4 linked regions of the Caenorhabditis elegans genome follow. The protein of the gene in region 1 purifies or fractionates together with the protein of each later gene. This does not show direct contact. Each region holds a gene or a part of one and is shown in the gene's direction. Other genes may lie near its edges. The genes, in order: Y48G10A.1, T21H3.1, agxt-1 and pgm-2.

Evidence for each region.
Region 2: the proteins of Y48G10A.1 (region 1) and T21H3.1 fractionate together in Caenorhabditis elegans (co-fractionation; one large-scale study listed by BioGRID). This does not show direct contact.
Region 3: the proteins of Y48G10A.1 (region 1) and agxt-1 fractionate together in Caenorhabditis elegans (co-fractionation; one large-scale study listed by BioGRID). This does not show direct contact.
Region 4: the proteins of Y48G10A.1 (region 1) and pgm-2 fractionate together in Caenorhabditis elegans (co-fractionation; one large-scale study listed by BioGRID). This does not show direct contact.

Annotation. Positions count from the first base shown.
Region 1 is NC_003279.8:13,486,891-13,493,186, forward strand, and holds Y48G10A.1 (S-formylglutathione hydrolase), read left to right. Parts: upstream 1-2,696; 5' UTR 2,697-2,701; coding exon 2,702-2,769; intron 2,770-2,827; coding exon 2,828-3,192; intron 3,193-3,755; coding exon 3,756-4,165; 3' UTR 4,166-4,230; downstream 4,231-6,296. Other genes in the region: Y48G10A.2 (E3 ubiquitin-protein ligase UBR7), read right to left, coding at 74-420, 475-478; Protein soem-1, read right to left, coding at 4,877-4,992, 5,697-5,883, 6,093-6,208, 6,255-6,296.
Region 2 is NC_003283.11:1,173,646-1,180,730, forward strand, and holds T21H3.1 (Fungal lipase-type domain-containing protein), read left to right. Parts: upstream 1-3,078; 5' UTR 3,079-3,079; coding exon 3,080-3,451; intron 3,452-3,499; coding exon 3,500-3,625; intron 3,626-4,710; coding exon 4,711-5,058; intron 5,059-5,108; coding exon 5,109-5,180; 3' UTR 5,181-5,219; downstream 5,220-7,085. Other genes in the region: ptr-16 (SSD domain-containing protein), read left to right, coding at 943-1,066, 1,120-1,169; F25A2.1 (Fungal lipase-type domain-containing protein), read left to right, coding at 5,984-6,304, 6,349-6,474, 7,007-7,085.
Region 3 is NC_003280.10:8,842,613-8,850,996, forward strand, and holds agxt-1 (Alanine--glyoxylate aminotransferase), read left to right. Parts: upstream 1-2,985; 5' UTR 2,986-3,027; intron 3,028-3,617; 5' UTR 3,618-3,710; coding exon 3,711-3,767; intron 3,768-4,448; coding exon 4,449-4,607; intron 4,608-4,673; coding exon 4,674-4,752; intron 4,753-4,799; coding exon 4,800-4,908; intron 4,909-4,951; coding exon 4,952-5,150; intron 5,151-5,334; coding exon 5,335-5,462; intron 5,463-5,512; coding exon 5,513-5,608; intron 5,609-5,653; coding exon 5,654-5,912; intron 5,913-5,970; coding exon 5,971-6,095; intron 6,096-6,145; coding exon 6,146-6,152; 3' UTR 6,153-6,290; downstream 6,291-8,384. Other genes in the region: F46C5.6 (Serine/threonine-protein phosphatase 4 regulatory subunit 4), read right to left, coding at 1-94, 144-268, 318-425, 550-656, 698-771, 951-1,016, 1,093-1,154, 1,201-1,407 and 2 more; oac-46 (Acyltransferase 3 domain-containing protein), read right to left, coding at 6,609-6,875, 7,196-7,440, 7,563-7,818, 7,950-8,269, 8,362-8,384.
Region 4 is NC_003281.10:13,294,838-13,303,260, forward strand, and holds pgm-2 (Phosphoglucomutase-2), read left to right. Parts: upstream 1-4,540; 5' UTR 4,541-4,541; coding exon 4,542-4,701; intron 4,702-5,379; coding exon 5,380-5,726; intron 5,727-5,792; coding exon 5,793-5,959; intron 5,960-6,016; coding exon 6,017-6,310; intron 6,311-6,378; coding exon 6,379-6,542; intron 6,543-7,139; coding exon 7,140-7,795; 3' UTR 7,796-7,923; downstream 7,924-8,423. Other genes in the region: npp-18 (Nucleoporin SEH1), read left to right, coding at 2,020-2,085, 2,141-2,251, 2,297-2,358, 2,410-2,477, 2,528-2,915, 3,503-3,759, 3,810-3,949; Kinesin-like protein klp-19, read right to left, coding at 8,184-8,423.

The DNA of each region.
Region 1 (6,296 bases):
TCATGATTAAAATATTCAAAAAATTTCTCTAGATTTTATATGATTTTTTGAAAATTCGGAAAAAAGCCCGTACCGCGAGCTTATCGGCCTTAAGCAAATAGGCCTTGTGATGAGCATGATCTCCAAGAAAAGCACACGCTCCACACAAAACTCTCTCTTTTCTGTAGAAAAGTGTCGGAGACTTGACGGATTCCTTCTGCTTCAACGCGTAACCGCATCCCGGATAGGTGCACGCGAAGAATTGGCTGTGCGGAGCCACTTGCAAGCACATTGAGCACGTTGCGATGGTATCCGAGTACGCCGAGCACTCTTCAACGGGATTTTCGTCCACACTTTCTTGATAATTTGTGATATCCGGCAGACTCGACGTTTCGCCGTCCGGCATTCGCTCGAAATTCTCGATTGTGTGAGAGTTTCGCACTGAAAATCGTGAATTTCATATTAATTTTATCATTTTTCATCGGAAAAACTTACTCATTGTACAAATTTGATCCGTTAGTTGATCGATTATTTCCTGAAACTACATTTTTCGTGAGATTTTTAGGTAAAAATTGAATAAAAACGCTGAAAATAATTTTTAAAGTCGATTTTATCGGGAAAAAACCAAGAAAAACTCTGAAAATCGGCGGAAAAACAAGAAAAAATGGGAAAATTAATTAATTCGAAAATTTTAAACTTAGCAAGCCGTTCTCTGCGTCTTCACTCTCTCGCGCGTGCCAATGGAGCGCGTTTGCACTATTTTTTTTTTAATTTGAGGGGGTACGTTTTCGTAAGGGGATTTTTTCGTAAGGAACGCTTTCAGTAGGGTAATGTGCGGCGCGCCTTTTCGCAAGCCCGCCGCACAGTCCTTCGCAATGCGCCGCACGGCTTTTTGCAATGCGCCGCACGCTTCTTCGTATTTATTTATTTTTCCAACAGGAAATTTCGAACGGAATTCAATTAAAAACGGATTTTTAATGGAAATTAATTAGTTTTATTCGAGCTAAATACGGATATTTTCAGAATTTTCGATGACAAAAACGGGTTTCAATCGATTTCGAATCGATCAAAATTAATATTAATCGAAAATGAGCGTTTCCTTCCCGGAAAAAGAAGAACTTGATGCTGAGAGTGATCCAGGCGGAGCCAAACGATTAAAATGATAGAAGTGATTTTTTATTCAGTCGAAATGGAAAATAAAACTGCAAACAAAAGTTAATTCGATTAAATTAAGTAAGAAAAATCATGGCGAAATTTGGATAACCTGAGTATGGAAAATTGTTTCTATAATCCAATGGCACAGAGGTAAACAAAGAGATCAGTGATAGCATTTCGGAATTTCCATAAAAGGGAAAAGTTTCTCATTAAAAGCACTGAAACCGGTATAATTCAAAAACACTGAAGTACAGAAATCGGGGTTTTTGTATAATGGCACAGCGGTTGTTCGATTTCCGGATCGTCTCTTCAAGTCTAGGATCAATGATTTTGATAGTTGAATGGTCTTTTGAATCACTCCTCGCAGGTTTTGATAGTCGTTGTGATGATACATTCTCTGGAAAACAAAACAAATCGATGTTATATACCTATTTGAGAACTTAAAAAACTACAAAAAGAAACTTGCCTTCAGCTTGGAAAATTGCTGCTCACTCGGGTTGTTTGTGAACGCTGAAAAATACTTTTCACTCTTCAATTAATCTTTAGACATCAATAATACTTGCCTCTAAAAAAGCGTTTGGCTCCGCTTGGATCACTCTCAGCATCAAGTTCTTCTTTTTTCCGGGAAGGAAACGCTCATTTTCGATTAATATTAATTTTGATCGATTCGAAATCGATTGAAACCCGTTTTTGTCATCGAAAATTCTGAAAATATCCGTATTTAGCTCGAATAAAACTATTTAATTTCCATTAAAAATCCGTTTTTAATTGAATTCCGTTCGAAATTTCCTGTTGGAAAAATAAATAAATAAATACGAAGAAGCGTGCGGCGCATTGCAAAAAGCCGTGCGGCGCATTGCGAAGGACTGTGCGGCGGGCTTGCGAAAAGGCGCGCCGCACATTGCCCTACTGAAAGCGTTCCTTACGAAAAAATCCCCTTACGAAAACGTACCCCCTCTTTAATTTCGCGAAAAATAGTTTTTTGCCGAAAATAGAGTTAATTAGGCTAAAAAGCTGTTTTACAATCAATTTTGTTAAAGAAAAACCGCAAAAAACCTGAAAATTGACGAAAAAAAGCCAAAAAAAAAAAAAATTTTGCTTTTTAGTTCTACGCAGGAAAAGTGCGGCGATGGGTTTAAAACTAGAGAAATATTAGAAATCGTTAAATTTAATAGTAGAAAATTACAAAAAACCTAGATTTTCTGTGGAAAATACACGAAAAACAACGAAAAACTTTGGGAATTAAATTAAAAATTCGAAATCTAGCAAATCGTTCTCTACGTCTCCACTCTCTACCGCGTGGCGATGGAGCGCGTTTGCTTTTTACTGATTTTAATTAATTTTAATTAATTGAATTTCAGCGTATTTTCGCTGAATTTCTAGTGTTTTCCCGATAAAAACAAATCGAAATTCAACGTTTCCACTAATTTCAAGCTTTTTTCCTCTATTTTCAGGAAGTATACGCAAAAATCTGTATTTTTCTCTGACGCCTCACTCGGCAATTTTCCACAATTTCTTATCAATTTTGTCTCTTGAACAGTCAAAAAATATCGATTTTTCAGAGAAAATGGCTGCCACTTTGGTTTCGAGCAATAGAAGCTTCAAAGGACGGCAATTTGTGTACAAACATGCCAGGTTTGATGAAAAAAATTGAGAAAAAATATATAAATTTAAAAATTTAAATTATTTTCAGCTCGACAACTCAATGTGAAATGACATTTGGAGTGTATATTCCGGATCACAAGCCAGACGAGAAGCTTCCAGCGCTTTTTTACCTTTCCGGCCTCACCTGCACCCACGCGAATTTCATGGAAAAGTCGGGATTCCAGCAATTTGCCTCTAAGCACCGTCTCGTCGTTGTTCACCCGGATACATCGCCACGTGGAGTCGATGTGGACGGCGATTCGGAAAGTTGGGATTTCGGAAAGGGAGCCGGATTTTATGTGAATGCTACTGTCGAGAAATGGGCGAAAAACTATCGAATGTACGATTATATTGTGAAGGAGCTGTTGGAAGAGGTGGTGCCCTCCGTTGCGCCGATTGATTTGGCGAAAATTGGTGAGAAATTCGAGAATTCTCTGTGAAAATCGACAGATTCAAGTTGGTTGAGGCTCAGAGACTACAAACTACACAACTTGGGAAGCCTCACTCAAATTTGCCAGGCGCAGTGCTATGAAAAATGTCGAAAAACTGAACAAATTCGGAGTTTTTCGACTAAAATTCTTATTTTTTCGCTCAAAAACTTCAATTTTCATGGTTGAGGCTGATGAATTTTTGTAGTTTGTAGTGTGAGCCTCAACCAAAATCCGGAATTTTTTGGTGAGGCTCATGTATTTTTGTAGTTTGTAGTGTGCGCCTCAACCAAGAATCGACCATTTTTGGTGAGGCTAATGAATTTTGTAGTTTGTAGTTAATAGCCTCAACCAAGAATCGGAACTTTTTTGGTGAGGCTGATAAATTTTGTAGTTTGTAGTGTGAATTTCAACCTAAATTTACTTGAAATTCATGTTTTTAAACTAAAATTCCAATTTTTCAATAATTATTAATGATTTTTACAAAAAAAAAACTTTTAAAAAAAATCACAAATTTCACACAAATTGAAAAAAAAACCAATTTTTCAGGAATCTTCGGTCACTCAATGGGCGGCCACGGAGCTCTAACAATCGGTCTCAGGAATTCATCGAAATTTCAATCAATTTCCGCATTTGCACCAATTTGCAACCCAATCACCGTTCCATGGGGCCAAAAAGCACTAACCGGATACCTGGGTGACGAGGACAAATCCACGTGGAATCAATATGACGCTTCTGAAGTACTAAAAGCCTATTCCGGCCCGAAACGCGAGATTCTCGTCGATCAAGGTGCGGCCGACAATTTCCTGGCTCAACTCAAACCAGAAACGCTGAAATCGAAGGAAAACGCGGAGATTGTGGTCAGAATGCAAGCGGAATTCGATCATTCGTATTATTTTATCGCAAGCTTCATGGCTGATCATTTCGAACATCATGCAAAGATTTTGAATAAGATTTAATTGAGGAAATATATTTATTTATATTTATTTTATTTTCGTCACTTATTTAAATTTATTTAAATTTCAATGTTTTTACACTTTTTCAAGAAAAATTTCAGATTTTGTTCGAGTTAAATATTGGTCTTATGTTATTTTAACTCCCAACATTCGTGTAATAAATAAATTATTTTTAGACGCAGACAGGTTAAGTGTCTTAACACAGTACAGTGTAGTCTTCGGAAACGGAATGAGGACGATGATAATGATAAAATAATTGATGTTTTCTATTTTTTGTTCATATTGTGTGTATTTTTTTAATTCTAAATTAATACTATTAGTAAGAAAATTTTAATGAACAAAAAATATTTATTAGAACAAGAAAACAAATTAAAAATTGAGAAAAAGTGGCAAATGCTGCGGTTTTTTTTGGAAAAATACACGTAAAGCGTCACAAAATAAAATAAAAAATATATTTACAAGTTTGAATTTTCTAGAAAATTTTTAGGAAAAAGCGAGAGAAAACCGGAATTTTCGAGGTTTCAATTGGAGGGAAATGGCTCCCGGGAGCAAGAAAAGTGGGCGGGGTTTGATTAGTAAGGATTTTGAAAGAAAATTAAATTTTTAATACAAAAAAAATTTTTTTGGAAAATTTTTTAAAAATTCAAAACAAAATTTTTTTTTTCGAAAAATGTAATTTTTCCAAAATTTGTTTGAGACTTTTTATAAAGCAAGCTAAACAGGTTTTAATTGATTTTTCAACACCAAATGATCGGCGCCACGTATTGGAAGTGGATGACGTCGGTAGAATGAGATGGCAGAGCTTATCGATCGGAATAGGGGACCTTCTCCTGTAAGAATAGGGGAATTTTTAGGAGACATTTTAGTTTTTTTTTGGACCAAATATTGGAGAATATGGTTTAAAAAAAGAGTTTTGTAAAAAAATTCTGAAAAAAAAAATGTTTTGAAAAAAAATTATTTTTTCAAAATTTCCAAAAAAAAATTTTTTTTTCTGAAAATTTTTCTAATTTATAAAAAAATCCTCTTAAATGTTCCTGTACCTTTAAAATAGTCAAAACAATTTTCAAAAAATTGTAGTTTGTAGTGTAAGAGCCTCAACCAATTTTATTCGGCATTTTAATGCATTAATTAATTAATTAATTATGACGAATAAAATTGGACGTTTTTTTTTTTCAAAATTCTATGATTTTTTTGAAATTTTTGAAATTTCACGGTTGAATTCTGAGGTAGATTACAAGTTTTTCGAATTTTTCATTTCAAAATCTGATTTTCCGTTGAAGCTCTCAGTGCAAACTATAATTATATGGAAGTATACTGGAGTATACATATTAGGTTTTTCGTAGAGTTACAGAATTTTGAAGTCTAAATTTGAAGGATTATGATGAAAAGTGATATATATTGTATTGTTATTCTTTAAAAAATGTTTAAAAAATTTTCTCAAATTTTTCAAAAAAAAAAAACTTTTTTTTTGAAAAATTCGAAAAAAAATGTTTTTTTCCAAATGTTTTTCGTTAAAAAATCGATAAAAACTCACCAATAACCCATTTCTCGCCATTCCACTCAATTTTAATATGCACAACACCTTTTGTAGCCCGTAACGATAAAGCAGCACTCCCCTCACCACGTGATCTGAGCAAATAGTCCCCCAAATTTCGATTTTCAAGCCTTTTTTCCGCTTCAACTCTATTCATATTTTGTTCCATGTAGATTTCTGAGTCGCTCTGCAATAAATTATCGATTTTTCGGGAAAAAAATTGGAAAAAACGGAGGTGACCGAGTTTTTTTCTCAATTTTTGAAAGTTTTGTACCTAAAATATTGTATTTCTCATTTGCATATGTAAAAAAGGCATTTTTGGAGTGTGGCCGAGTTATATTTTTTCTAGGCCACGTTGCCTGAAATTCAAATTTCCCGCCAAAAATGAAAACTTACAGGCCTCCGACGTTTACTCTCGTCACGTGGCACTTTCCGTCTTGCGTCGACTGCTGAATTTCCGATTTGAACGAGCTGATTTACGAACGAGGAGCTCGAGCAGAGTGACGGTGAGCCTGAAACTATAAACTACAAACTACACACTACAAACTATAAACTCACCATGTGGAGAAACCTTTGCATCGCCGGCCGCACTTGTCGATA
Region 2 (7,085 bases), on another chromosome or scaffold:
TACGCGCACGTCGAGTAAGAAAGTCCCATTTCGCTTTGATCTACGAAAAATGCGGGAGAAGAGACGCAGACATCTCATCTGGTTTCGCATGGTTAAGAGTGTGCTGACGTCACATTTTTTGTAGATCAAACCGCGATGAGACTTTCTGACACCACGTGTGTGCGGCAAATCTAAAAATTTGCCGAACACGTCTGCTATCAAAGAATGTTCAACTGACACTATGGTTTTGCGTGTTTGAATTATTCACAGAAGATGTGGCAAAAAATAAAGCGGCCGACATCTTGTGAGTTCAGATTTTTTGGAACAAAATTATTAGTTTTAGTAAAAATTGAATTGTCCATTTTTTGCCGAATTCGGCAAACGGCAAAATCGGCAAATTTGCCAAACACTATATTGGATTTTTATCAAATTTCGATTAATCATCTGGTTATTGAGTTAGTGTATTCAGGGGTTGGTGACAATTGTCGTTCGTCAATTTTTTTGTCGACTAATTCGGCAAATCAGCAAATTGCCGATTTGCCAATTTTCCAACAATTTGCCGATTTGCCGTTTGCCGAACATAAACTTGCCGGAAGTTTTTAGAGAGAATTTATATAAGACGGCAACACCTGAAACTATGCCTATTTGCCGGTTTGTCGAATCGCCGGAAGTTTCAATTCCGGCAACTTACCGACTTGCCGACTTGCCGGAAAAAGGCGATTGCTCACCTCTGGCCCATTAGTTCCAATCGTCCAGAATGGACTCACAAGATTCCTGGCGCTTTATTTTTGTCGTGATTTTTTTTAATTAGTTAAACATATTTTGATAGCATTTCTGGTTTTTGAGTTATCTATAATCTTTTGAAAAATTTGAGAAATTATCAAAAAACTCTCGATTGAAATTTACTCGAATAACTGATTTGAATCGAGATATCAACTGTCAGACTATAACCTTTTTTTTCAGTCTGGCGACTTATCTCGTTTATTTGGTGGCGACTCAATACAGCCGGAAAAACCTGAAAAACTCGGAGAAATTTCACAGGCTTCCAGTTTTTCAAGTGGAAACAGTGAGACAGCTCTAGTCAAAAGTAAGAGTCAAAAGTAATACATGAATTCGATTTAAAAATTACAATTTTTACAGGCAACTCAACAGAACTGAGAACCTTACCACAGGAACGGGGATCCGGTTAATATGTGCCAAAAAAAATTGTGATCCAAAATTGTAATTTATTAGTGTTGTTTTTTTTCTCCACATTGTTTTCCTATCAAGTCTCAACTACGGGTGCTCGACTTCATTGACGTCTGTCTCATTCCCAGTTTTCTTTTGTGATAAATTAGTTAAAAAGAATTTGCAAATCAGTTGTCATTGCAGAAAAAACTAAAAATTTTCTGAATAAAAACTCACAAAAAATCAATCTTCAGGTGACTTACTGATGAAAATAAAATTTGTTGAAGATTTGTCTTTAAAGGTTGACTAGCGTCACGTGGTGTCAAAGTGTCCCATTTTAGTTTGATCTACGAAAAATGCGGGAGAAGAGACGGAGATTTTTCAACTGATTTCGCATGGTTGAGAGTATGCTGACGTCACATTTTCCTGGGCAAAAAATCCCGCATTTTTGTAGATCAAACCCTGATGGGACAGCCTGACGCCATGGGTAGCGTTTGCGCTAATTTTGCCCTAAATGGTCGAAAAACAGTCTTAATATATCAATTAAAACTATGAAAAAAATTTACAAAAAATTTCTAATTTTTTCATGATTTTATAAATTTTGAAAAAAAGAGCTGAATTATTTTTGAATTCCCGCACAAATGAATGACGTCATTTTTGGCATTTTTGCATTTTTGGGCAATAAATTTGATTTTTTCAATATTTTTCAAAAATTTTTCAATATTTTTTACAATGTTTTTCAGACATTTTTCGGCGCAGCAAATGAAAAAAATTTGCTGAAACTCCAAAATTGGCCTAAAATCAATAATTTAGCATTAAAAAAACGTGTTTTTTTGGGAAAAATGTCTGAAAATTTTGACAAATTATGCGTCAAATTATGAAACAAAGAAAAAGTAAAGAAAAAGCAGTCAATATTCCCAAAAAGTGTCAAAAAATGACGTCATTCACTTGCGCGGGAATTCAAAAAAAAAATTATATTTCCTGTTCGAATTTTAAAAAAATCATTAAAAATTTAAAAAATTTTTATACATTTTTTGACAGTTATATTTGTTATATTGAGACTGTATTCTATCATTTAGAATTTAAAAAAAACCCACCTGTGCAACTCCAATTTTAAGGTAAGCGGGGATAAAGTTGGCTTGACAACATTTTTTGGAAATTTAATTTTCTTAAAGTTTGCTGATCAAATCAAATATCAGCCTTTCAAAAACATTTCATTCGGAAATTTGATTATTTGATTTTTCAGGTAGAATTCACGGATTTTCGGCTTCCCTCATAAATTGAAATGGAAGAAATTGCCGAACTAGGCCATTTTGGCTCGGCCATATCTTGGGTAGATTTACGGCGCGTTGCGTGTCGCGGCTCGATTTTAGTTGTGAAACTAAATGCATTTGTCCGTGTGGAGTACAGGAATTCCCACGCGTTGGCGATTGTCAATGGAGCGCAAAAAATTCAACGAGGAAGGCCAGAACCCCGTGTAGAATTTTTTTTAACACCACTGAACATTCAAGTATCAAGAACTTTGTTCATCTCCTACAGTGTTAGTTTGTGGTTCGAGGAATCAAACGACCATTTAAACTACTTGCGTAATCCGGTTCGATTGAAAATTTGATAAAAGAGCACAAGTTAAGCGGTATCATTCATATCAACGACTTTTTTATAGGTTGTGTGATATTTGAAACGGAATTGGTGATAAGAAAACGGAAAGTTAATAAAGAGAAATCGAATAGCAGAGTATCGTCATTTTCCCACCTTTTCTCCCAGTAATCATGTTTTAAATGTTAATTCGAAATTTGCGGCAAATTAAGTTTCGAAGTGACGTCACACAGGCTTCACTTCGGTGACGTCACGTGTTTCTGAATAAGATGTGTCACGTTTTAAAACGATTTTCCAACTTCCATCTCATTTGTTAACTTTAAATTATTCTTTCAGTATGCAAGCCTTACTGCTTGCTGCAGTCCTTCTGCCACTGGCTTCGGCCTTTGTGCTACCAGAAGCCCCAAAAAATCCAGAGAACCTCGACGTCTATACCATCCCATACAACGACGCCACTGCTCGCAAGAAGATTCTCTTCGCAGCCGGCGCCGCCTACGGATCGAATCCACAACAGTGCCTCGACAAAGCGTTCACCGGTGCCTCAATCAGGAGAATCATTACGGCTCGCTGTGACGTCAACCCAGCCGACAAATGCGTCGGATACACCGCCGTCAGTCCACAGGACAAGGCGATTATTGTGGTGTTCCGTGGAACTAACAACAATGTGCAGCTTATTTTGGAAGGATTGGAGACTGTCTTCGAGTATCACGTAAGATTAAAATTTCGAGTACTCCGGAATAAATGAAGCATGTTTCAGACTCCATGGGCTGCTGGAGGTGTCGTCTCCCAGTACTTCAACGACGGATTTTTGAACATCTGGAACGCCGGACTCAAGGACGATTTTAACACTCTTGCCGCCCAAAACCCAGGATTCCAAGTTTGGGTAAGAATTCGTAAAAACTGATAAGAAAATGATTATTGATGGGGTTAAAGTAGACTGTGCTCCCGTGTTGTTGACAGCTATCGTAGTCTAGCAAAATATACTTTGCGAGTTCATGAAGCAAGTGGTTGTTGCATTTCTACAGTGTATTCCTACACTTGTGATATAAGTGAGTATACCCCCCAGGAAGACGCAGACGACATGAGCTGGGTTGGTTGAGATCTCGATCGAAGTCGGCTGCACGTGGTCCCAGGCTGTCTCATTAGGGTTTGATCTACAAAAAATGCGGGAAATTTTCGCCCAGAAAAATGTGACATCGACACGTTCTTAACCATTCGAAATCAGTTGAGAACTCTGCGTCTCTTCTCCCGCATTTTCTGTAGATCTACGTAGAACAAGCCGATATGAGACACTCTGACACCACGTGGGCTGCAGTGCAGCTACACAGTACGTCGCGCAAGCCTTGATGCCTGATAGGTGTAACAATAATGCTTCGTTAAATTTTTTTTTAAAATAAAATAAGAAGTCCAGATCAGAAACGCGGGAATGTCAGTGGTCAACCTCGAACCACAAAAATGTTATAGAAACTTAAAACCCATTCCACGTGGTGTCAGGCTGTCTCATTGCGCTTTGATCTACAAAAAATGCGGGAATTTTTCCCAGAAAAATTGTGACATCAGCACGCTCTTGAACATGCGGAATCCGATGAGATGTTTGCGTCTCCTCTCCCGCATTTTTTGAAGATCAAAGCAAAATGGGACTTTCTGACTCCACGTGTCATTCTTGTTGGCGCATGAGCAGGACCCAACCAGTGGATAAAAGATCCTTGTGGATCCATGTGATGATCCCGTGGTGACAATGGTTTCTTGAAAGTAGTCCTATCATTTCCCGGAATACTGTTTAGTGTAGCACCCAAGGTGGTCCACATAAGAAAACGCGGTCTCGAACATTGTCCGTTGCAAATTTATTTTCGTCTCCCAAGGCTCAAAATCATGGGATTCTGGCCTTCCTCATTGAATTTTTCGCGCTCCATTGACAACCGCCCGCCGGACAACGCGTGGGAAAGTCGTGTACTTACAAAACTTCAGGTCACCGGACACTCCCTCGGAGGAGCGATGGCCTCCCTTGCCGCCTCCTACATCACCTACAACAAGCTCTTCGACGCCTCGAAGCTTCAACTCGTCACCTACGGACAGCCACGTGTCGGAGACAAGGCCTACGCGGCCGCCGTCGATCGTGACGTCACGAACAAGTTCCGCGTCACCCACGCCCACGACCCGGTGCCACATCTTCCAAAGGAGAACATGCAAGGATTCACCCACCACAAGGCCGAGGTGTTCTACAAGGAGAAAATGACGAAGTACAACATTTGCGATGATATCGATGAGAGCGAATTCTGCTCCAACGGACAAGTTCTTCCAGACACTTCTATCAAGGTATAAATCGTCCAAAGTTCTTTACTTCACCAATACTTTTATTTTTTTAGGATCATCTTCACTACTTCGACGTTGATGTCAGCGACTTGGGCTACTCAAATTGTGCTAATGTCAAGAACTAACTTTTCAATGTTTTAAACAATAAAATAGTTCACAACTGATTCAGTGGTTCAGAGTTGAAGTGGTGGGCCTGCCTACGCGCCTGCCTCCCATATGTTCGCAGAGGTCCGCACCAGGAATGTGCGGCAAATTTGCCGAATTTACCGAATTCGCCGAGCTCGGCAAATTTCAAAACAGTAGATTTGCCGAATTTGCCGAGCACGATAAATTTCGAAATTTTCCGCACACATCAAAAATTTTTTAACAATACAATTTTGGCCAAAACTATTGATTTTGTCCCCAAAAATTTAGTAAAATGGCATAAAATTGAGTTGTTATTTTGATGCTTAAGCAGACACACTACACGGAAGTTATTCAGACACCAGATTTTTATTCAGAATTCAGTAGTTTCGGTGCTCCAAAAAACATCAAAAAATATCAAATTTTCGGAGTTAATTAAGCACGGCAAATTTGCCGAATTTGCCGTGCTCGGCAAATATTGGAAGAAGAGATTTGCAAAATTTGGCGAGCACGGCAAGTTTTGAGATTTGCCGCACACCCCTTTTCCGTACAGGTTTGAGGCAGGCGTCGGAGCATAAATAGCTAGTAATTCCCTTGATAACAAATGTGACAGCAATCTGAAGATGACGTGATGTTCGTCATATTTCCAAGCAAAGTTAAATGACAAATTGCCTCGGAGCAACAGTAATCCCAAAATCAAACAACAAAGTCACACTTGCAACCAGAACTTTTTTCACTTTTCACAGAGCTATTTAAGTTTGCAAATTTTCAATTACAATTGTATTTAATGTATTTGACATTCAAAATGCTTTTTATTTTCTCCGTTTTAATTTGCAAATCATTCTCCCACAGTTCAATACCATATTCCGATCAGCTCTCTCGGAATAAACTGATCTATGCAGCCATCTCCGCGTACGCTTCTCCTCCACAAAGTTGCATGAGCTTGGCGTTTCAAAATTTTCAAGTCAAACCTCAGATTACTGTAGCTTGCGACACACTTGATGATACATGTTCTGGATTTACTGGAGTCGATCACGAAAGTCAGGCGATTTTGGTAGCTTTTCGTGGAACTAATCGTAACGCACAGCTGCTCGTTGAAGCCGTAGAAACTGTGTTTGCAAACAATGTAAGTTAGTTTATGCAAAAGCTCTGTCTAGGTCAAATTTTCAGAAATCCTGGGTTTCCGGTGGGCACGTCTCCGAATACTTCAGCGATGCGTTTTTCAAAATATGGACTTCTGGAATGAAAGATGACGTCATCAGTCTGATGTCTAGATACCCAAGTTATCAAGTTTGGGTTCGTTAGCCTCGCACGTTCGATTTCCGAGAATAACGGGAAATTTACACCTGGGGAGTGCGGCAAATTTTCCAAATTTGCCGGACACTCCTGATAAACACGCAAGAGTTCTACTAGCGTCTCAAAGCGAATTTCGTATTCCGACTTCCGCATTTCTTGGAGATCAATAAACATGCTGTCCCATTACAGTTTGATCTGCCAAAAATGCGGGAATTTTTTGCCCAAAAATATGTGACGTCAGCACGTTCTTAACCATGTGATTCAGTTGAGAAATCTGCGTCTGAATTCCCGCAATTTTTGTAGATCAGCGTAGATCAAGCCGAAATGGGACAGCCTGACATCTCATGAGTACACAGGCCCATTACAATTTGATCTACTAAAAATGCGGGAATTTCTTCCACAGAAAATGTGACGTCACTACGTTCTTAACCATGCGAAATCAGTTGAGAACTGTGCGTCTCTTCTCCCGCACTTTTTGTAGATCAACGTAGATCAAACCGAGATGGGACAGCCTGACGCTGACAATTTTCAGGTCACCGGCCACTCTCTTGGTGGAGCTCTAGCCTCCCTTGCTGCCACATATCTCCGATATACCAGTCTCGTATCGGCTG
Region 3 (8,384 bases), on another chromosome or scaffold:
TTGTTCGATATCACTGCGAGACCTTCATTCTTTTTCTCAAGCGCCTCTTCGGTTAACTTTTTGATAACAGAGAAGAGTGTGTGCTTTCGTGCATCTGAATTTGAATTTGAATTATAATTGAAATGATTATTTTCTGACAAAACCTCTTGTGAACAAGGAGAATGCATCAGTCAAACTATTCATTGCAGCTTCTCTCACATTCATTTCTTCATCATTTAATAAATGTACATATGAAGGCAAAAGACAGGACACAACATCGTGCGAGTTTCTGAAAGTTAAATGATTTTACACTAAAACAAAAAACCCCAACAACTTACTTAAGAGCATTTGCAATGACAAAAAGTCGTTGAGCAACTGCTACTCTCACATTTGAATTGGCATCTTTGCACAAGGTGGTAACAATTGGGCACAGTTCTTTTCTTATTCTTAAAATGTTTTAATTCGTTCATTGCCTAGTTACATTTTTTGTAAGTTAAATATATTTTAGAAAGCCGGTAGGTTAGGACTATTATGAGAGCGAAATGAAACAATTTCAAATAACAAACTCACTCGTTCGGAGGTAAAAACAATGCCAACTTGTGAATAATCTTAGTGGCAATAATTCGTCTTTGTACCCTCTGAACAGGTTCTGCTTGTGTTTGAATTACAGGAACCACCTGAAAATTAAATGAAGGGGATATCTAATATTTATGCTTACATATAATTTGATTGAGCTTAGTGACAATTTGTCTGCAACTTCAACAATTGTTTCTAACCAAGCAGCGGCACTCACTGAAAAATATGAATTTAAAATTTACACATAATTTATTTAGTGCGCAAGTTTTTTTTAGTTGTTAATGTTATAATTTTTATAGTTTTGTCAATGTCTAAAATGGTAATTCAAAAGAGTATTAGGTAAAAAGGTAAAGGTATTATTAAAAACAAATAAATTGTTAGTTGAGAATACATACAATGATGCATTTGATTGTTGATGCTACTGCCAGCTTTTATAACAATTTTTTCCTTTTCCTGAGTGTCTGGAAATGGTTAGGATAGAGGATAGAAGGGGAAAGGTGGAAAAACATGTACATACGATACTTGGAAAATACTTACGATGCTCTTTTTGATTTTGAATATTTTGAAGAATATTCTCGAGTAGAAGATCAACGATTCCCCTAGAAAGCTTGTTATTTTAAAGTAGTGGAATGTTTTAATACTCACTGAAATTTTTTCACGAGGTCCTCATTTTGAATAATTGACTTATAGACAACTGCAGCTTCACAGTGAAGGTCTAGGTTTGATTTTTCAATTTTCAAACATTTTTGAATTGCTGGTAGCATTTTTAGAAGGCACTTTTCTCCGTCGGAGGTGTCCAGAATGTCAGGAAATGTGCGAATTGATGTGAGCTTTTGAATTTCAGTTCCGTCTCTGAAAATTTTATGGTATGAACGATTTCCTTTTTTACAAAATGTCGAAAAATCAATTTTGATTTTTTAATTAATAAATCTTACTCTAAATTGATTAGAGCCTGATCCAATGGTGATCTTAGCAATTCCTCAAGATCTGGATCTTCTGCCATTTTGAATAGTTTTTCGAAATCCAACTTCATTACAGGAGGTTCTTTTTCTTCTGTCTCGTCATCTTCAATTTGATCATGCTGGAAAACAAAACGAATTCTATAAAATCTTTTCTGAAGAAATTTTGGTGTGAAAGCCGTTTTAAGTAGGCAACTACTGCAAAAATTTAGTATATTTTCCAATGCCTAATTTCATTACTCATTACTCATTTTCACAATCAAAAACTTAAATTTCTAAATCTCGTTTTTTATCATTACAATTATGCCTTACTTTAATATCAACTATAGATTCTCCATCCATTTCTGTGGCAGCGACCATTGAAATGTTGGAAAATGTGATTAGAATATCTGAAATTTTTCGAAAATCAATTTACAATAAGATGAGACAAAGAGCAACACGAGAGAGAGATAAGATAAACGAAAAAAGAAAAGAGTCAACAGTTTGAACGTCCCGCCTTTTTTTCGCATGATCCATCAAGAGGTAGGGGCAGCTCTTTAGATGCATTTTTGTTCGGCAAACAAATGAAACACATTTTCAAAATGGTTTGCGTTGGGCAAGAAAGTTTGAAAGTGTGGTTAGATATGACGAGTGATCTAGAATGATGCAGAAACAACATGATTCTTCAATAATACAAACTCTTTTTGCTTTGGAATGTAGAGGAGGTGGAGGAGAAGCAGGAAGAGGCAGCTGTGACTCCCGGGCGATGAGCAACTATCTCTATCCTCTCGAAACATTCAAAATGATTGGTGAGACGCAGACATCAAGTCGGTGTGTAAAGATATTCGGCCAAGAGGATCGGGATCGAAGGGCACGCTTGTGATCCAGTGTGAGAAGTTAAAAGCGAGGGAGGAGATGAAGAAATGAAGACGAAAAAGCTCAAAGGATGAAGCTGAAGAAAAAAAAGATAGAGAAAGATAGTGTTCACAGCAAAAACAGACACTGAAACCGGAGAGCTTCAAAGATCACGAGACATCACAAATTTGAGTTGACCTGTAATTGAATCCAACTCGATTTCGAAAAACCTGAGCAGTTTTCTTATTTTTATCAATAAAATGTGCAATTGTTCAAAACATTTCAAAATGTGCAATAAACTCGTGTGATCTGGAAAGTGTTCTTCACGAATCAGTACTTTCCGAATTCTCAAGGTATCTCCAGGCATACAAGTGAATTGGCTGAAAAACTCATTTATAGATTTGGGTAAAGAAAAATGTGAGGAGATTTCAGACGAAGCTAGGCGAAATTCAAGGAATAAGATGTAGAAGCTAAATTTGAAAATGTTCAGAAGTTAATATCTCAAAGCTTTATTATTTTTCCAAAGTTAACACAAACCAATGAACTTTTAAATATTAATTTCTAAATTTATTCATCGTATCAATTTCTGTAGACGTGAAATGCTATTTTCATGGAAATGAAACTAGAAAAAAAATTTATTCCGAAGTCTAAACTTCTCTGGATCTGCTCGTTGTTCGAGGTAAAGTTCAAATTAAACTCTCTTGAAGTTGGTAATCTTTCTCGATTTGTATTGTTTTGAGTAAGATAAGTTGGTAGTCCTTAAATTTTCTAGTTTCATTATTTGGTAGACAATTTTGAAAAATGTTTTAATGTTTTTTTGTAGCCATCTGACTAATTCCACGTCATTGATTAGACCACTTTAGTTCCCATTATAGCTTATTGTTCGCACTTTATTAAAATTTTAACTGATTTTTAAACTGTGTATTTAAAAAATTCCACTAGTTTTTTTCGGATGATCTCCTAAATCTTGAAACGTTATTTTCTAGATTAACGGAAATGTGCCAATGAACTATCCATAAAAATTATGCTCAAACCAAATTGCAAAAAAGTGTTGTTTTCCACTCAATTTCCATAAACTATAAAATAACCACGAGGTTTTCCCCAGTGCACTTTCAAGTGTTTCTTTGAACTCTTCTCTAAAAATTGACCGATCTCTGGGTGTCTTCTCGTTATCATTTATACCATCGACTGGTCATTTATACATTGTGATAAAATAGCCCCTCAGTCAGTCAGTCAGTCAGTGAAAATGAAAGAACAATGTACTTTGAGGAGTCACAGAGATATTTGCCGCCTGCAGGACAACCTCCTCAAGTTTTCTTCTCTACCTCAATATTCTTCCTCAATTGATTTAATTTCGAAGATATGATTTCAACGCGATTTCTAAGACCTTCAGTCTCGATTTTTGGATTTGGAATTAAGGTGAGTTCAATTGGTTCAAAAATAATAGGTTTATTGAGTACACAAATTGGAACCGCCTCTGAGAGTTTATTGTCATCATACATCAACATATGTGTTATCATTGATGAAACTGTTCATTGATACAATCTTTTTAGTTACTGCAATTATTTTATATTTATATGCCATTGTTCATTAAAAAAAGTTTTTGAAGGTTTTTTCCTTAAAAAAAATTATCTAACAGCATGAAAATTATGTCTTTCGAGTTCAAACTCTAAAATCATGTACTTGATTTTTACAGTATTTGGTGAAAAAAAAACCCACTTTGATTTATGGAAAATTTCTAACCATCTAGTATGCCGTTTGGCATTCGACCCTTCAACCCTTCTCCCCTAGACATCAAACCAATTCTTGACCATTTGGACACACCGTTCAATCTCCTCTTGACCAATTGGTTTCTCTGTGTCTCTACTCCATTCTACATGCAAATAGAGCGCATTTCATATTAGTTCCATGTCAGTACTGCGAAATGGAAAACATTTTAGTTAAATTTAAGATCAGTTTTTCGTTAATGTTTTGTTTTTAATAACATTTGTTTTGAGAACCACGTGTTGAACGACCTTTTAGTTATTATATTCTCAAATTATCACTTCCAAATCGATTACCATGTTCTTCGAGTATTTATGTATTTTACTTTTTTTCCAGTCATCAATGTCGTCTCGTGCTCCACCAAAAGCTCTTCTGCAAGATATGGTTGTCCCACCGCGGCAACTTTTTGGACCAGGACCATCGAACATGGCTGATTCGATTGCTGAGACCCAATCTCGCAATTTGTTAGGACACTTGCATCCAGAATTTGTTCAGGTATCTTTTTATGTTTTGTTGGAAAAATAGTAAATCGAAAACTAATTCATAAAGCTTTAATTTCAGATTATGGCAGATGTTCGTCTGGGTCTTCAGTATGTCTTCAAAACCGACAATAAGTATACGTTTGCTGTCAGTGGAACTGGTTAGTGTGCATATATCAACTTTCTCAATATCAAATCTAATATTCAGGTCATTCTGGAATGGAATGCGCGATGGTTAATCTTCTCGAGCCCGGGGACAAATTCCTTGTAGTAGAAATTGGACTTTGGGGACAAAGAGCTGCTGATTTGGCTAATAGGTTTTTAAAATCAATATTCTTGTTACAAATTAAAAATTGATAGAATGGGAATCGAAGTTAAGAAGATTACTGCTCCGCAGGGGCAAGCAGTTCCAGTTGAGGATATCAGAAAGGCAATTGCTGATTACAAACCAAATTTGGTTTTTGTCTGTCAGGGAGATAGTTCAACGGGAGTTGCTCAACCATTGGAAACAATTGGAGATGCTTGCAGAGAGCATGGTGCTCTGTTCCTTGTTGATACGGTTTGTGGTTTTTTTTAACTTTCTCGATCCTCACCATTTATTTATAAATCTTACAATGTTTCAAAAATTAACGGTTTTGTTTCTGAAAAGTTTAAGGTGTTTTTTAATGTAGTAAAATTGAAATTTGCCGAACGAGTCTCAAAATTGAAAATAGATGTTTAATGATCAAAGTTTTCATTTTCAGGTGGCGTCCCTCGGTGGAACTCCATTTGCAGCAGATGATCTGAAAGTTGATTGTGTCTATTCGGCAACCCAGAAAGTTCTCAACGCTCCACCAGGACTTGCGCCTATCTCATTCTCCGATCGAGCCATGTAAGAATAAGAAACAAAACACATATAGTTGCATTCCTCTTCATTTTTAGGGAAAAAATCCGGAACCGAAAACAACGCGTCGCCTCGTTCTACTTTGATGCCATCGAATTGGGCAACTATTGGGGTTGTGATGGAGAATTGAAAAGGTTGGAAAAAACTATGAAATGATGAAATTTATTGAAAAATTTCAGATATCACCACACTGCTCCAATCTCCACTGTATATGCTCTTCGTGCAGCACTTTCTGCAATTGCAAAAGAAGGAATTGATGAATCAATCCAAAGACATAAAGATAATGCTCAAGTGTTGTATGCTACTCTGAAAAAGCATGGATTGGAACCATTTGTAGTGGATGAGAAATTGAGATTGCCATGTTTGACTACTGTGAAAGTACCGGAGGGTGTTGACTGGAAAGATGTTGCTGGAAAAATGATGACAAATGGAACGGAGGTAAATTCGAAAATCCACCAATTTGAAGTTTGAAAACCGTAACTTGTTTTAATTTTAGATTGCTGGAGGACTTGGTGCAACTGTTGGTAAAATCTGGAGAATCGGAACGTTTGGAATTAACTCGAATTCGACAAAAATCGAAAATGTTGTGGAACTTTTGTCGAAATCAATTGGAGAGAAAAGGTCAAAAATTTAATTGATCCGTTTCCTTATCAAATTATTTATATTTTCAGCAAGTAGATCCATCAGTCGTAGATCCATCAATTTGTGATTTCATGCTAATTTATGATTTATTGTAATTTCGTATGCGTTTTGTATGAACATTTTAAATTTATTTAATGTTTTTATGGGTTTTAATTTGAATGAACAAAAAACAAGAATTTCTATTTACATGATAAAAATAGAAGAAGCGAAGGAAAAACAGTCGATGACCGGGGGAATAATCAATTACTGAAAGACCATCAAGAAAGAAGAACAGAAAAATTTCAACTAATCTAAAAGAAATGTAAAGCAAATGAAAGAGGAGCTAACAAATGAAAAAGTGAATGGCGGAATGAAATGAAACAATTTAAGAAATGAATGAGACTACTCGTAATGAATTCGGGTTGACAAGGAAATGATCACCCACTATTTACCTCAAATGTCCCGTGCCTGATGAAAATGAATTTTTGAGTCAAAAATTAAAACAATTAGAAATTAAGCCTTATCGGAAGGCTTTAATTGAATTTCCGAATCTGTTGGTGGACTCGGTTTGAGTGTAGTTTTTGGTGGAGAGGCAAGCAATAACCTTTCGATATTCAGAGCTGGAAGTTCACTGACCATTGTGCATATTATGGCAAAGAAATATGTAATGAGAAGTTGAACAAAACAATGAATGAAGAGTGGAATTTGAGTATTGAAATATATTGGGAAGGGAACGAGCATGTAAGTGAGTACCACTGGAATCATGTGGAACAAGTAGGCCTGAAAATATTTTATTTTTATAAAGCCAATATTTTGCCTTTTCAATTTTCGAAGCACATATTTTCATTCATTTGTCAAAGTGGTACTTGTAATTTGAAAGATTTCAGGTTGAATAAACTGTAAAATAATTTGGTTTTTCTAATAACCAAGTATTTCTCTTCATCAAAACAAAACATTAAAACACTTCCTATTCTATCAAAATAAAATAATTAAACGTAAACATTGTAGTGATACAAGGAAGTAAGGTTCTATGAAAGATTTAATTTGAAGTTTAAGAATGAGAGTAATCCTATTTTAACATTAGAAATTTGAAAACTAACCGAGAAACTCAAGTTGGCCAATGGTAAGAAGAAATTGGAGGAGAGGAAGACATTGACAGGTCCACCAATTCCAGTATGACAGATGTAGATAAGGAATGCAATACCAATTGAGAAAATGTCACGATGGAGTGCTCCATAGAGCAAGTGATATGCTCTCCAGGCAATTGAATCCCATCCTTGAAGAGCTGGGTAGAGACCGTACAAACCGAAAAGGATTCCCACAAGTGCCACTGACCACATTGAAACTGGAATTAAGAAGGCTTAGAATTTTTTTAAAATAAAATAATTAGTTTTTAATTTAAAAAAATATATTGGTTCATGAAAGATGAACATTTGTTTTAACAGCTAAAAATAAATTCAAACTCACTGATATATTTGTTGCTTTGCTGTGGTTTCACAGGAATTCGTTGATATCTAGCCAATTGATAACCAAGAAGAATTCCAATAAGATATGGTCCAATGCGATATTGTGGTTTGATGTAGAGTTCAAGATGGTGTTGAATAAAATTTGGATTGAACATTTCCGGTTGCTTCCAAAGGAATTGGGTTGGCGGGAAGTTGTTGCGAACGATGGATTCTACATTCAAACCGGCTGAGAACATAATTACGACGAAGCACAAAATCTGAAGAAGTGTTTATGAAAAGTTGTAGATACAAACATTTGGTTTTACGAAATGTTAAACTAATAGTCAAGCTTCACGAAACATACTATCAAAGCTTGAAAAGATATCTTCTGTAAAAAAAGAAAACTCACAAATCCGATCTTTGGCGCTTTCCTTAATGTGAGAAGGAATATTGGAGAGAGCAAATAATAAATGAATTCAGTTCCGATGTACCATGTCCATGGCATACATTGATTATCGAGAATACTATTCACGAAGAGAACATTTTGCCACCAATATTTTGGGCATTGAATAGCTGGATCAGTTGGTGGCCACATTGGATGGAAATGTGTTACAGAAATACGAAGAGTTACAGCAAGAAGTGTGTACAAGTATGCTGGGTAGAGACGAACAACTCTGTGACGGTAGAATTTTAACCAGTATCCCCAAGATGTCCATGTTGGCTCTTCTTCTGAAAATGTTTCAATAATTTTATTCTTTATCAAAGGTTTTTGAACGTCCATTGGGTTTCGAAATTTTAAAGATGGCAAAAGAAAAACTAACCAGAAGTATTTTTGAGCCATTTT
Region 4 (8,423 bases), on another chromosome or scaffold:
TAAACAACATTTTCCTCCTTTAAAATAGGCAGAATCGAGGGCTGGTGGAAAACTATTCGTCGATTTCCTACTCAGCATACCGTCCAGTATGCGACTGATTTCTTTCTGGAAAAAGTATATGTTTTATTGATTCCACGATTTATTATTTACGTTGCTCTTGAGAAGTTCAACAACTTCATATCTTTTTGAAAGTGTAACAGCAAGCTCATAAAGGCGTTCTTTTGATGGTGAAGAAGACATTGATGAAACTGCGATTTTTCTCATAATTAATTGCACCTAAAATATAAATTTAGTTTTGAAAAACGTAAATTTCAGTATACTGCAATTTCGCTTCTCCTCGATTCGTGATCACAATCACGACTGACTTTCACATGGCCTGTCTCAGTCTTGATACGCACGGATCCGGGGCACTTTCTCGAGTTTTCCAGTGTAACGTTACATCTGAAATAAATTAATGAAATGTGTGACAAAAAATAAAATTTTTTCCTAGCGATAATTCACCTAGCCACAATGTCCCCATTTTTCAGTGTTTCTCTCGGACGATAGCTTTGATTGTTGAAAATGACCAATGGAGCTCCTCGTTTCGTCGAAATACTGAAATTGCATAGTTTCTATGTTTAATTGTTTTAGAAGTTAGAAGGCATACCAAAAATCTGAACTATTCTCGCTGATATATTCCGGTGCCATTTCAAGCACCCTCTTGGGCTATTGGCAATCGGTCTATAGTGCATCAGAGAACGTAACACGTGTGACTTGCTGGAATTTTATATTTTGATAGAGTTATTGATTAATAACAACCTATTTGTCAAAAACCAATCCGGATGGTATGGAGTCTCTTCGTCTTCAAACGGAGATTGATATGAATTGTGACCTAAAAATACAACGTCTGTTATTTCTATTTAATTATTAGTTAAGACCTACACAGAAGATTGAATTCACTGGTTTCCTGTAGATCGTGATCCATTTCTTCGGGAAATACAGCTGGATCAAAATCAAAAAATCTTTCAGTATTTGCCATGGAATCTGTTGTATCCAAGCTTGTTTCCTGAGTAGAATTGGCTATTGAATCGCATTCCGGGATATCGTCAGTGGATCTCGGCTCATCGAGCTCTCGAGAATTTGAAGGAAACTGCATATACGAATCAGACCGACGTGGTGATGCAGGTGGAGTAACCAGATCGATTGTTGCAGGAGTCGATTCACATACATTTGTAGTAGACGCTTTCGGATTTCTTTTCTTCTTTAGATCCCTGTCGAACGCTGAAAAATACTTTTCACTCTTCAATTAATCTTTAGACATCAATACTTGCCTCTAAAAAAGCGTTTGGCTCCGCTTGGATCACTCTCAGCATCAAGTTCTTCTTTTTCCGGGAAGGAAATGCTCATTTTCGATTAATATTAATTTTGATCGATTCGAAATCGATTGCAACCCGTTTTTGTCATCGAAAATTCTGAAAATATCCGTATTTAGCTCGAATAAAACTAATTAATTTCCATTAAAAATCCGTTTTTAATTGAATTCCGTTCGAAATTTCCTGTTGGAAAAAGAAATAAATAAATACGAAGAAGCGTGCGGCGCATTGCAAAAAGCCGTGCGGCGCATTGCGAAGGACTGTGCGGCGGGCTTGCGAAAAGGCGCGCAGCACATTGCCCTACTGAAAGCGTTCCTTACGAAAAAATCCCCTTACGAAAACGTACCCCCTCGATTAGAATAGAACAGTTTAGCAATTTCTAACAATTAATTAAACAAAATTTGGATGAAAAGTCTTTAAAATGTATCAATTCATTGTGCCGCAATTAATTTAGGCCAACATTAAATTTAAAAATTTTACATTTACCGCATCTTCTCGTTTGTCCGAGAGGACTACACCACTCGCTCCTAGCGAGACCTTCCACCGGCGAAAGTGCCTGCGCCTTTAAATTTTGAATCTATTTTTTTGTTTCTACGCAACGATTTTTCTTCTTTTTCTCTTATTTTTCTCTAATATTCACTATAAATATTTATTAATTTTCAGAAAAATGCAAGAAGACGACTCGGTGAAACCTTTTCAGACCGTCGGCGCTCACAGAGATCTCATTCATTGTGTATGTTGGCTTGATTTCGAAAAATTAGATAAAAACTGAAGATTTTTATTTCCAGGTTTCATTCGATCCTCATGGCCGACGAATGGCAACATGTGCCAGCGATATGACAATGGCGATTTGGGATCGAAAGCCAGACGGAAATTGGCGTAGATCTGCACACTGGAAGGTAGAAAAGAAATTTCAGAAAATAAAATAATTTTCCTCATTTCAGTGTCATGGTGGAGCAGTTTGGCGCGTTATTTGGGCTCATCCGGAATTTGGGCAGATTGTTGCGTAAGAAACTAGAAACTGTCACCCGAATATACTTTATTGATTGATTTTCAGCACCTGCTCCTACGACAGAACGATTGTAATTTGGGAGGAGCAAATTGTGAGATCAGAGAAAGATCTGAGTGAGTATAATTCGCTCTAAATATAATCCAAAACATTATGTATCTCTCAGAGCAAAAAGAATCCCAATGGATCCGAAGAACAATCATCTCCGATAATCGTTCAGACGTCACCGATATCTGCTTCTCCCCGCGCCATCTGGGTCTCATGATGGCATCATGCAACGTTCTCGGAACCGTCAGAATCTACGAAGCACCGGATATTGTGGACGCTTCTCGATGGAATCTTATTCACGAGCTTCAAGCGTTTCATACCCGATGTGGATGTGTCACATGGTCACTTTCTCGTATGCACCGCCCGTTGATTGCTGTTGGTTCGGATGAGAAGAAGGCAGAGAACAAGAAACGAGTTGTGATCTATGAGAATATTGATGGATTGAGGAAATGGCAGCGAATCAACTCATTAGTCTTCGATCTACCATGCCCGATTACTGATTTGAAGTAGGAAGAACACGCTCTCCTCGGAGCCGAATAATTATTACAGCGCGCTTGCCTTTCCATTGAAAATAGCAGATTTTTCAGTATTAAAAAATCCGCTCTTTGAATAATTTTTTGTCTAGAAATTCCAAAAAATAATCGAATTTTCTAAAATCCGATATTTATCGGATTTGTGTCTAAAAATTTCAAAAACAATCGTATTTTCTTGAAAAATCCGCAATTTTATCAATTTTTTGCCTGAAAATTTTAAAAATAATTGAAATGTTCTGAAAATTCCGCTATTTTAACAAAATTCAAAAAATATTTAAAATTTTCTTGAAAAATCCGCTATTTTAACAATTTTTTGTCTAAAAATTCCAACAAAAAAAATTGAATTTTCTGGAAAAGTCCGCAGTTTTATCAATTTTTTGTCTGAAAATTCCAAAAATTATTGGAATTTTCTTGAAAAATTCGCTATTTTAATAATTTTTGTCTAAAAATTTCAAAAAAAATCGAATTTTCTTGAAAAATCCGCTATTTTATCAATTTTTTGTCTGAAAATTTCAAAAAAAAATTTCCGCTATTTTAACTATAATATTTAAAATGTTCAGATTCTCGCCGATATCGATGGTGGATTCGCATCAATTAGCCGTTGCATCAGGCGATGTTCACGTCTACAACATCAAAGTGGCTCGTTCGGCGATTCTCGAAGAAGACGGTGTCGAGAATCCGATTCAGCTGGCGGATTACAATCTGATCAAGGTGGCACTGCTCGGGGATCATCGAAAAGCATGGAGGCTTCGATATAATCTCATGGGATCAGTCATCTCGTCGACGAGCTTGGATGGAACACTGAGATCCTGGAAATGTTGGGAAAAAATCAAAAAGAGTCAAAAATGAAATAAAATTGATTTTCAGCACTCTTCGTGAACCAATGGGTAAAGCTGAGTGAGATGAATGTCGACGACTACGTTCCATCGCCTGAAGAAGTTCGCGCCTTCATCTCATCGAAAACTACCGAACGTCTTCCATCACAACTCGAGAAAACCTATTTCTAACGATATTTTTCTCTATTTTTTCTCGCCGATCATTTTTTTTCCGAATGATTTCTTATCAAAGCGTGTATTATTATTTGTTATCATCATCTGAAAACTGAAAACCGAGAACATTATCACCGATTTTTTTTTGATGTTTAAGTATTTTATCAATCTTCTGTTTAATTTTCAGATTTTTCATGCTGATCGGTTTCTGCAAGAATTAAACATTCCACTTATCTAACTTATGTAATTTTCAACGGTTTTTGTGCCTAGAAATATTTTTTGGACGTTTTTGTTAATTCTTTTTGCATTCAACATTCACCTAAATTCGAAAATTAAATATTTACTGAAACCCGATACTGTCTTTTTCACAGTTTCCACAATACCTCCATCAATTATTGTTGATTTTATCTCTTTTCCAAATCTAGGGATAGTGGGTTACTCGCAGAGAAATAGAGAAACGGCAAGGTCATTTACCTGGCCTTTTCTCATCCACACATGTCGGAATAATTGTGGTATTAGTGTCCTTATCTGCAAAATTTCGATTTTTTAAAACTTTTGTTGTCTTTTCCACAATTTTATTGCAAAATTTAAGCACTTTCTAATTTTCAGAATGACTCTTGGATGTGCAAAGCTTGACAAGCAAGTTGCCGATTGGCTCGCTTGGGATAAGAATGATAAGAATCGTAATGAAATTCAAAAGCTGGTTGATGAGAAGAACGTTGATGCATTGAAAGCTCGTATGGATACTCGATTGGTTTTTGGAACTGCTGGTGAGAAGAAAATAATATTACACAGCTGCAGTGTGTAAACGGTGGAAGAAACGCAGCTATATTGGGACAAAGGGAGGAAGACCCGAAATTGTGTAGATTTACAGAGTGTGAATCTTCATTATTACGGGAATGCATATTGCGCAACTTATTTGACGCGCAAAATATCTCATAGCGAAAGCTACAATAATTCTTTTAATGGCTACTGTAGTCAATTTTCGAAACAATCTGTATCTGTCGCTATTCGAAAAACATTTATTCTCGAAAACCGAGCCCACACGTGGAGTCAGAAAGTCCCATTTCGCTTTGATCTACAAAAAATGCGGGAGAAGAGACGCAGAGTTCTTAGCCGAATTCGCATGGTTAAGAGCGTGCTGGCGCCACATTTTTCTGGTAAAAAATTCCCGCATTTTTTGTAGATCAAGCTATATTGGGACAGCCAGACACCAAGTGAGCCCATAAATCTACACAAGCGCTACACTAGTTTAAAGAATTACTGTAGTTTTCGCTACGAGATATTTTGCGCAATGCGCATTCTCAAAGATTTGTGTTCCCGTATCACACGGTCCCCACATCTCTGCGTCTCTCCACTGTCTACACTCTGAAGAAGCTGGGTGATATTAACAGGAGAACAGTAGAGATTCAAAAGTACAGCTCAAAATATAAACGTATTTTTTCCAGGTGTCCGTTCTCCAATGCAAGCTGGATTTGGACGCCTCAACGATCTTACAATCATCCAAATCACGCACGGATTCGCTCGACACATGCTGAACGTCTATGGACAACCGAAGAACGGAGTCGCCATCGGATTTGATGGACGTTACAACAGTCGACGTTTCGCAGAGCTCTCGGCGAACGTCTTTGTTCGTAACAATATTCCAGTTTATCTTTTCTCTGAAGTCTCTCCAACTCCTGTTGTCTCGTGGGCAACGATTAAGCTGGGATGTGATGCTGGACTTATTATTACTGCATCACATAATCCAAAGGAAGACAATGGATATAAGGCGTACTGGAGCAATGGAGCTCAGGTAAATAGATCAATATTTAAGATTTAATTCTTTTTAAGATTAAAAAAGAAAAGGTTTTTTTTGCAGATCATTGGACCACATGACACGGAAATTGTTAGAATCAAAGAGGCCGAGCCACAGCCGAGAGATGAGTACTGGGACTTGAGTGAACTCAAATCTTCGCCACTTTTCCATTCAGCTGATGTTGTAATTGACCCGTATTTTGAAGTTGAGAAATCGTTGAACTTCACTAGGTTTGTAGAAATTTTAAAAAATCGTTTAAAAAAAGGTAAATCCAATAATATTTTCAGAGAAATCAATGGCTCAACTCCGCTGAAATTCACGTATTCCGCGTTCCATGGAATCGGCTATCACTACACAAAACGAATGTTCGCCGAATTTGGATTCCCAGCTTCATCGTTCATTTCGGTGGCCGAGCAACAAGATCCAAACCCAGATTTTCCAACAATTCCATTCCCAAATCCAGAAGAAGGACGAAAAGTGCTCACGCTGGCGATGGAAACTGCCGATAAAAATGGATCGACAGTTATTTTAGCCAACGATCCAGACGCCGACAGAATTCAAATGGCCGAGAAGCAGAAAGAGTAAGTTTTTTGAATTTCCAAAATATATATTTTAAAAAATTTTATTTTCAAAAAAATTCAATTTTCAGCGGCGAATGGCGTGTGTTCACTGGTAATGAGATGGGCGCTCTCATCACTTGGTGGATTTGGACAAACTGGAGAAAAGCGAATCCGAATGCTGATGCATCAAAAGTATACATTCTGAATAGTGCTGTGTCCTCACAAATTGTCAAGACAATTGCTGATGCAGAAGGTGAAATTTAATTTCGAAAGAGAAAAATTTGCTTTTTGATGAAAAAGATACAATTTTTTCAAAAAAATGCTGAAATTAAACCGTGCGGCAATGTTGCAAAACCGCGTACCGCGGAATTGCGTGTCCGCGGCACGCCATTTCGCAATTTCGCCGCATGGTTTTAGTTTTTTCCTAATTTTTAAAAACAATCTTGCAAGATTTTGATAAATACGAAAAAGAAGCCGAGTTTTTTTTTTGAAAAACATTGAAAAACGAAAATTTTCGATTTTCCGGAAAATCTAATTATATTTTTTAAAAATCAGAAAATTAACAATAATATTCGAATTTTTATCCAAGTTTTGTAAATTTTGATGAAAAACTACATAAAGAAACCTACAATTTTCTTTTAAAACTTTTTTTAAAAATCGAGAATCGAAAGAAAAACTTTCGTTTTTCGATTTTAGTTGAAAAAAAAATTCGAATTTTTTTCGTTCTACCGACTAAAAATCAACATTTTTGAAGAATTTTAAGTAATTTTTGCCAAAAAAAAAGCAGCAGCCCTGTTTAGAATATAAAATATTAAAATTACAATTAACAAAAAAAAACTATAAAATTCAGGCTTCAAAAACGAGACCACCCTGACCGGATTCAAATGGATGGGAAATCGAGCCGAGGAGCTCCGTGCCGATGGAAATCAGGTCATTCTGGCGTGGGAAGAATCGATCGGATACATGCCAGGGCATACCATGGACAAGGACGGCGTGTCCGCTGCCGCAGTTTTCGCCGAAATCGCCGCTTTCCTTCACGCGGAGGGAAAATCGTTGCAAGACCAGCTGTACGCTCTCTACAATCGATATGGCTTCCATTTGGTCAGATCCACTTATTGGATGGTACCGGCTCCGGAGGTCACCAAGAAGCTCTTCAGCACATTGAGAGCCGATCTGAAGTTCCCGACGAAAATCGGAGAAGCCGAAGTGGCATCCGTGAGAGACTTGACGATCGGATACGACAACTCAAAGCCCGACAATAAGCCCGTTCTTCCACTCTCGACTTCCTCGGAAATGGTGACTTTCTTCCTTAAAACTGGAAGTGTCACTACTCTCCGAGCATCTGGTACTGAGCCAAAAATCAAGTACTATATTGAACTCATCACTGCTCCGGGAAAAACGCAGAATGATCTGGAAAGTGTGATTTCTGAGATGGATCAACTCGAGAAGGATGTCGTCGCTACACTTTTGAGACCACAGCAATTTGGACTGATTCCAAGAAAATAAAAATTTTTGTCTTGAATAAGAATCAAAAAATGTTTATAAATCTATTTGCATTCCGATATATTGTAGTCTTCTTCTATTGTGATAATTAATTTTTCAATTTATTTCCCCAATAAATTACTGAACGTTCTAAAAGCTGTACGCAAAACCAAACGAAGACATTAAAGTGTGTAAACTTTCAATTTTATTGAAGCATTTTGAGAAAAAATGGATAAGAAAAATGCCTAATAGGTTTACTTAATTTAAAATCATCTATTTAAGACAGAATGGGGGGTCAAACGACACAATTTAGTACCCGAATACTATTATTCACAGTAAAAGTTAATTAATCATTAGTTGACAGGAGGAGGCATTGGTGTGTTAAATATTTTTCACACACAAAACTTGGAATTTAGAGCGGTCCAAGATCCGTTCGACGACTCTTTCGCTTGATGGGAGGAACACCGTCTGCTTCCGACGTTGGAGCTGCACCGATCACGAATGTTGAGTTGGAAGGAGACGGTTGCGAATCGTCCAACACAATAGTGGCAGAATTGAACGAATCTTTGACGAAGGTGGCATTGTTCATTGCCTCGTTTTCAATGTCTTCATCTTCTTCTGTTAGACGGGTATCATCGTCACATTTGATTGG